2 linked regions of the Nothobranchius furzeri genome follow. The protein of the gene in region 1 purifies or fractionates together with the protein of each later gene. This does not show direct contact. Links are inferred from orthologs where the notes say so. Each region holds a gene or a part of one and is shown in the gene's direction. Other genes may lie near its edges.

Region 1 (3,979 bases):
CCAATAAATCCTCAGATGAGTTTTCTTCTGAAGACATAGCTTTAAATGTCATATTTTCTCTTTACAATGCAACGGACTGGAATGACTCTTATTTTCCCTTCTTTGCTCGGGACTACAAACAAAACTAAACTTCTACAGAATCTGCAACTTCCTACATGTCATGTCCCCCCTAAAGGAGGACTGTCGCTGCAGAGGGTGAAGGCTGACTCAGGACAGGATTTAAAGATTAAACAGGCACAAGTATCAAACACAGTCAACTGAAAGCATTGTTTCCTATAAGAGATGTTTAACTAGTTGCTTATAATTTATGTATTTGATTATTTTGGCAAAAATCAACAAGTCCTTGCTAAAACGAGTCTTTATTTTAGTTTAAAGCAAAAGTTTTGATATTTTCTCTCTTGAATCAGCCATAAACCTCCTGGAAGTTTGACTCTGTGATGGTGACCTGGTGGTGAGGAAGCTAGTCTGGCAGCACAAAGTAGAGCAGGACATTGTTGGAAACCACAGCTTGGCAACAAGGTCTCATCTTGATTCACAGTCAGAACGGTTCAGGCAGCGTTAAAAAAAATGGGTCAACATTTTTTCTGTTGTTTTTTTCCCTCAAGTGTTCACAAGACCCATTCATTTAAACTCCTAAATGTCCTGAATGAGCTTCTAAAGGGACATCTCTAACTATTTATCTCTTTTGCTGAGACACAGAATTTACTTGACACTCAAAATAAACACTTTAACCTTGAGAACATTCAAATAATGAAGTATTGTTTTGCATCTTTTAATAATTTGAGGCATTAACATGCCAGGTTGAGTTTGAGTCCTAACAGGTAATTCAAGTTATAAAGTGTTCATCAAGAAGTGATTAAAACAGCAAAACCTGCTTTTCCCAATTTGTAAAAAACAAAAAGTAACTCAGAACTGCATCAGACCATCTGTTTTTATGACTTAAACAAATTTGTTCTTATGCATAACTAAGTTCTCTTGCAACAATAGAAAAACAATGGTTTTGGAGTACAATAAATCCTAACAGTTAAACTGCTGATTTGAGTTCTGCCATAGCAGAGAAATAGCTGTATTATTTCGTATTATTTATTTTTGGTCAAAACCACTTCAGAGGGACTGAAGCCCAGATTTGTGACGTGATATAGTGTGTGCTTTATTTTGAAAATACCAAACCGGAAAAGATGATAATTGATGGAGCCTTATTTCTGCTAGAGGTGGGGAGCGGCGAAGGGTTTAGTCATGCTGAAGAGCCGGGAAGCAGGTACGTCCGGCGGCGGGGAGGCGTCAGCCGGGTCGCGGGGACCACCGGTGCCACCAAGCCGGGCTCCGCCCGAGGAGAGTACACCTTCCGGCCGAGCAGGGATTCATCTCACCGGCCTGGTCAGCTGGAAGCAGAACCTGTGCAGGACTTCAGCCTTGTTTGCTGCAGCCAACACGGTGATGTGGTAGGCATCATGACGCAGGGATATGCTCAGCCGCAGTCTAATAATAATAATAATAATAATAATAATAATAAGAAGAAGAAGAAGAAGAAGAAGAAGAAGAAGAAGAAAAATGAGAAGAAGAAGAAAAATGAGAAGAAGAAGAAGAAGAAGAATACTAACATTACCTCTCAGGTGGATGAATGTAATGTAATTGATTTTGAGACTTATTTTATTTTATGAACTGCACAGCTTGACAAGAGACTAGTGTCATAACAACAACAAGGATTAAACCTTGCATCATGATGATTTCCGGAAGAAGAAAAAAAACCTAAAGTGAAATCAGCAAAAGGATCTGATTTAGTTCAAACTAAGAAATCAAAATAAATTTATGATAACTTGCTTTGGTTTATTTGCTCAGATTTAGTTATTTACTAAATTTAAATTCACAGATAAAATAACTTCCAGGACATAAAAACTCTGTGTAACAATAAATCCTTTTTTATTTATTTCTTAATAAAATAATGAAGAATTTTTTTAGTTTCATTGGGAAAATGTCTGTTTTCATGCAAAAATAAACTTGTTCTGCTTCACGTGACACTTTGATGTTTCCCATTATAAATGCAATTGGCTTCTAACAGGTAAACCTTTATGTCTGCAGGTTTGTTGCCTTCAGCTCTCTGCGAGTCTTCAGCCTCCTGGCCATCCTGCTGGCTCTGCTGGTTGCCATGGTAACAGTCAGAGACGTGATTCGGACCAGATCCACAGGTAACACGTAAACACCTTTCTCGTGAAGGAGCCAATTTAACAAAATCTTCTGTTTCTGCGACAATAAACAAAATTATATATAAAAATGTCAACAATTAATGTTAATGTTGAATTATAAAACATCCTAAAGTAAAGGTTAGGTTTGAGAAGTTACACCTGAATGACTGGCAAGGCACCTGGAATTGGGTTGGAAATAAGAAATGAATGTGGAGATGCTTACCCATAATGCACAGCGGTACATAGCAACAGTCATTAGAACAAACAGGCTGTTCTAGCATGGTGGGGGAGGACCATCGACATATACATATAGGAGGACTGATGATTTGGGCTCATTCTGCAGCTCATAACTGTCCCCTGAATCCTTCAAAGTGAGATCATCAGCTGAAGATGTGACCTACCTGGGTCATGACCTCCAGAAGAAACAAGTCGTCAGATCTCACCTTAATTTTCTCACACTTCCTAATTTCTACATGAAAGATGAAGCAGATTGGGTTTTACTATAAAATACGATAAATACCACAAAACATGGAGGTTTTATTCAGGCAGCTGCTAAATGATGAGAAATCTGATGCCTAATCCAATAATACAAGACAAAAAATTCCCCAAACTGTCACGTTTCAGTGTTGGTAGGACCCAAAATGCAGGAACCCAAGATGACACAAGGCAGGAGATGATATAAAGTAAAATCATTTTATTAGGATGAATGAAACAAAAATATATCCAAATGGGCTGGACCCAAAAAACCAATAAATATCCAAAAGAGCTGTGCAGAGATCAAAACACTAGAGACAACACGAGAAGACTGACAGAATAACAACAATGGACCGACACAAGACAAAGACAAGACAGGGCTTAAATAACAGGGAGGAGTAATTAAGGGAACAGGAAGCAGGTGTGTGGAGTGAGGGCTGGAGGGGAGGCAGGTGGCAATAATTATCTAAATGGGGAAACAGAACCAAAGGAGGACAGATAAACCTAAAACTACGAATCCAAACTAAAAGGCTGCGGGAAGGACTAACACACACACACACACACACACACACACACAGACATAAATAACTCACACATACACACACACACACAGTAACTGGAGGGACACAGGATTACTAAATGAACACCGGACCTGAGGGAATGATAAAAATGCCTACAAACAGAAGACACAATATTGAGACGCAGACAAAGGACACATGAGGGCGCTATGAGACACAGAAGGGAAACTAGAGAGGCTGGAGAAACATCAGGAGACACAAAAAGGAGGGGGCAGACGCAGACCATGACACAAACTGGAACACAATTTACTCAGTTTTTGTTAATTTAATCTAAATTACTCTTCAACTGGGTTACTTTACTGTTTTATTATAACAATGATGAATAGTTCATTTGTTTTCTCTTGACAGGAGCTCGTTTATGGCGCAGCATGACAACAAGGTAAGACCCTAAAGGTAGAGCTGCTCGATAAAAGGTACTATTACTTTTGTAATATTTCACACGCACAGTACTTAGAAACTATAAGATGAGGGTAATGCAGGAAGTTAAAACCAAAACGGACAATTTCATAGCAGCAGCATTTGCAGCAGGTGTTTTTCTTGCATTTAGTATTTTTATTTGTAATAATTGTTTAGGCCTAAAAAGCACCAGCACTGTGTGAAGGTAAGTGGGTGGAGCTTTCAGCCAACATAACAGAAACTCTTAAACATGAAATCACTGTTTTGTTTTTACAAAGTAAAAGTAAAATAAAGTCACTTACTATACATTTAAATAGTATTACATAATTAAAGTATTTAAAAAGTCCC
Region 2 (4,248 bases), on another chromosome or scaffold:
TCTCAGAGTGCAGGTTTACTGGTGGTTCCCAGAATATCTAAAAATAGGATGGGAGGCAGATATTTTAGCTATCAGGCTCCTCTCTTGTGGAACCAGCTCCCAGCTTTAGTCCGTGAGGCAGACACCGTCTCTACTTTTAAGACTAGGCTAGGTTATCCAGAGTTATCTCTGTAGATATGCTGCTATAGGCTTAGAATGCTGGAGGACATACTGACCACTTTCCACACTCTACTACTTTCTTCTACAATCTGCTCTTTAACTGCATTATTTCCTGCTATTTCAGCTGTTAACTTTATTTTTACTCTTAAGTGTTTTCCTCCCCAGAAGAAGCTACAATGATGTTCTGCTGAGCTGTAGTGGCCTCATGGAGGGGGCCATTGGCTAGCACACTGCTGCTAACCACTTCTCCCTCTCCTGACAATAACATTTTACTCTCTTTGACATTGAATGTGCTACTCCTAGTTTACCAGATTAATTATAGATTCACTAGGATAAATACAATAAAGTTTATCTCACCAAATAGAATGTTTACTAAGAAACACAAAATTCCTGTTAAAAGGGAGTTTTTCTCTGCACTGTCGCTGCATTCTTAGTATGAGGTGACTCGATGCAACCTGCTGGGTTCCTTAAATAGGAAACTTTTTACTGATTGGCTTAATGACCTGACCTGTATTGGAATGTTTACTGTGTGAAGGTCCTTGAGACGACTCTGGTCCTGATTTGATGCTTTATAAATAAACTTGAATTGAATTGTAGAGCGCCATGTTCTTTCCAATTTTCTAGAGTTTTGTTTTAAAGTTTGTAAATCAGAATTAAACCAGGGAGCCAACTTCCTGTGCTTAATTACCTTTTTTAAAGGGGCAACATCATCTAATGCCACACGTAAAGAAGTAACATTATGAACTAAATCATCAATTTGTGAGGGGCTAGAAATGAAAATATTGCCCTCTGCTACAGTCCTCTGAGATGCTGAGGACAGTAAAGATGGAATAATTGATTTAAAAGATGCAACAGCCTTGTCAGATAAAGACAGACTATAGTGAAATTTACTTTCATGTCTCTAGAACTCAGTTATAAAAAAACTCAAAGGTGATCAAAAAGTGGTCCGAGAGGACTGGATTATGTGGAAATATCGTTATTTTCCTCACACTCTATGCCATAAATCAGCACAAGGTTTAATGTATGATGCCAGGAGTGGGTGGAGCTATGCATTCTTTGGGTAAAACCAGTATATTACTAAAGGCTACACTGAGGCTATCATTTTCAATGTCCACATGAATGTTAAAATCCCCCACTACCATGACCTTATCAGTATTTAGCACCAAATCAGATAAAAATCAGAGATCTGATCCAGAGACGGCCTCAATTTTACTGACAGGAACTGAATAACTTTTCTGAATATTAAATGACAACTTGGCTTGCCTCACTCACCTCCATAAGGCAGCGGATGACGTCAGCGCGTCAGATTACTGGCTTTGTTTGTACGGAGCTGCTGCGGAGCTTCAGACCGAGCCATCTGAAACCCTCCCAGGGCCGTTTTCATCACCTTCTTTCGCCTGAAGCCGCTGCCGGGATGCCGTCGGACCGACCGTTCAAGCAGCGGAGAACGTTCGGTAAGACGGTGCTGTCTACAGCTAGCGTTAGTGCGTTTCAATGCGTAGGTTCACACCGGATTTAACGTGTTTACATGTGTTGATGGTCGGTCTGTAGCTTCACGGTAAACGGGGTCAATGTGACGCCGCAGCCTTTACACAACCGGATCAGCTCCGTGACCCACCGCGAGGCCAAAACAACAAGTTGTGCTGAAACATGACCCCTACACGTATTCTCTGATTAAATCGGTCACCTGACAGGAGGGGAGGAGTCTGGCAGTGACCCGCTCACCTGAACGGACCAGCTGTCAGTGTCAGAAACATGAATATCAAAGCAAGGTGAGAACTATGTAGATGAACACCTGGAACGGGTTGATAGAAAGCTCTAAAACTGGAGTTTCACCTGGAACACCCTAACATCTCTGACTGGAACCACAGGATGATGTCATCAGGAAGAGACCCATCCGGCCAATGGCGAAAATGATAACCACGATTATTTTGGTTGATGCAAATATATCGCGGGATCAGGTCGCGAGGCAGTAGTCTAAGCAGGGAGGCCCAAGCTTGAAATCAGGTGTGTTGAAACTGGGAAAACACTAAAACATGTGGGATAGTGGGCCTTGAGGACCAGAGTTTGACACCCATGCTAAGGTCCAGAACGTGGTTATGATGGTTTCATTTAGAAATGAGTTTCATCCATCCTCTTCCGTTTATCTGGAATCTGGTCATGGGGGGCAGCAGCCTAAGCAGGGAGCCCAGACTTCCCTCTCCCCAGCCACTTGGGCCAGCTTCTCCGGGGAATCCCAAGGCGTTCCCTGGCCAGCTGAGAAACATAGTCCCCTCAGTGTGTCCTGGGTCTTCCTTTAGGTCTTCTCCCAGTTGGATGTGCCTGGATAACCTCACCAGGGAGGCGTCCAGGAGGCACCCCAACTAGAAGCCCGGGCCACTTCAACCGGCTCCTCTCGATGTGGAGGAGAGGCGGGTCTAGTCCGAGCTCCTCCCGGATGACTGAGCTTCTCACCCTATCTATAATTCCGTTTATTTATAAAGCGCCAAATCCCGACAAGTCCTCTTAAGGCGCTTCTCAAAGTAAACATTCCAATAGTTCAGTTCATTAATGCAATCAGTAAAAAGTTTCCTATATAAGTAACCCAGCAGGTTGCATCGAGTCACTGACTTGTGTCAGAGACTTCACAGGAAGAAACCTCCAGAGGATCCTGGATCAGCATAAGCAGCCATCTGCAGTGACACACGGAGTCGAAAGCCTACCATCCAAAATGGCTGCAATATGGCCACCAATCCAAAACACATCTTCTCTTGTTGCTGTAAACTTCCTAATCTCATCATGCTGTCTATTTGTTTTGTCGACAGCTGATCGATGCAAAGAGGTCCAGCAGATCCGAGAGCAGCACCCAAACAAGATCCCTGTAAGCTGCACACGCACGAACCTGGGGGGTAGTCCACAAAGCGAGTTTAGAACATCGATGCCTTCCTGATAAATGCCTGCCTAACAAAGTGCATCTGTGCACTCAAGGATCTGTCGGTTCCACCGACTATGCTCAGGTGGATTCAGTTCTCTTTAATTCAAGTGAACCTCACAGGCAGCCTCTGTTAATTGATGCTGGATAACTGAGAAGGGAAGCAAAGTGTTTTGCTCTTCTCTTAGACGGAACATTCATGCCCACGAGGACTATCTGAACTAAAACAGAGACCGCCAGCTGCTTGGTTATAGCCATGTATCTGGCGCTATTTAAGCCGAGCTTATGCTTCTGAGTGTGCGTCGGTACCAAGGGATCAAGGCCGCTGGCTTTGCTCCAGCATGGAAGTACCAAAAATTACAGTTCCACCCTCATCCGCTAGGGGCTAGTACCAAAACAGAGCAAGTTCCCTTTGACTCCCATGTTAAAAAAGCCAGTTTCACAGCATAAATAAACACATTTACAGCCTGGTTCAAAAAGCCATTCTAGGTTTGACTGATCTTTCTAACATTTATGACAACTCTGAGGGGGTGAGTTATTTTATAACTCTTTGACTGTAATTAAATGCTTGAAATTATGAATAATTATTGAGCACCAGAGCTACAAGCTAGCTCTAGGAAAGGCCTCATGTTAATGGACGTTCGGCCATTTTGACTCTGAACTTTAGCTGTGTCCTCTGTGGGTTTGTGCTTGGATGTAAGGGACAGCAGCAGCTCAGGAGGTAGAGTGGGTTGTCCAGTAATCGGAAGGTTGCAGGTTCAATCCCGGCTCAGACCAGAGAATTCTGTCATTGTGTCCTTGGGCAACACACTTAACTCGCCTTGCTGGAGGTGGTCGGAGGGACCGGTGGCGCCTGTGTTCAGCAGCCTCGCCTCTGTCAGTGCGCCCCAGGGCAGCTTTAGCTACGATGTAGTTCATCACCACCAGCGTATGAATGGGTGAATGACTGTGTTGTGAAGCGCCTTGGGGGGTTGTAGAACCCTAAGGCACTATACAGATACAGGCTATTTACCATTTAATCATCGGATTATTTACCATACCATACCATACCAATTTTATTTATATAGCACATTTAAACACGGCATGAGAGCCGACCAAAGTGCTGAACAAAACACACAATAAAAACAATCAAAAATAAAAACTAAATCCATTAAAATCAAGTAATCCAACCCTAAAAG

The links. The genes of interacting proteins can lie anywhere in the genome.
Region 2: the proteins of retreg1 (region 1) and microtubule-associated proteins 1A/1B light chain 3A purify together in Homo sapiens (affinity purification with western blotting; 3 studies listed by BioGRID and IntAct, with this or other methods). This does not show direct contact. The link is inferred for Nothobranchius furzeri from reciprocal best matches to the Homo sapiens genes RETREG1 and MAP1LC3A.

What each region holds. Positions count from the first base shown.
Region 1 is NC_091751.1:36,444,794-36,448,772, forward strand, and holds the start of retreg1 (reticulophagy regulator 1), read left to right. Parts: upstream 1-1,172; 5' UTR 1,173-1,236; coding exon 1,237-1,442; intron 1,443-1,473; exon of another isoform or gene 1,474-1,551; coding exon of another isoform or gene 1,552-1,613; intron 1,614-2,079; coding exon 2,080-2,186; intron 2,187-3,583; coding exon 3,584-3,614; intron 3,615-3,979. UniProt on the Homo sapiens protein: Endoplasmic reticulum (ER)-anchored autophagy regulator which mediates ER delivery into lysosomes through sequestration into autophagosomes.
Region 2 is NC_091743.1:78,250,659-78,254,906, reverse strand, and holds the start of microtubule-associated proteins 1A/1B light chain 3A, read left to right. Parts: upstream 1-1,444; 5' UTR 1,445-1,447; coding exon 1,448-1,613; intron 1,614-2,963; coding exon 2,964-3,019; intron 3,020-4,248. UniProt on the Homo sapiens protein: Ubiquitin-like modifier involved in formation of autophagosomal vacuoles (autophagosomes). While LC3s are involved in elongation of the phagophore membrane, the GABARAP/GATE-16 subfamily is essential for a later stage in autophagosome maturation.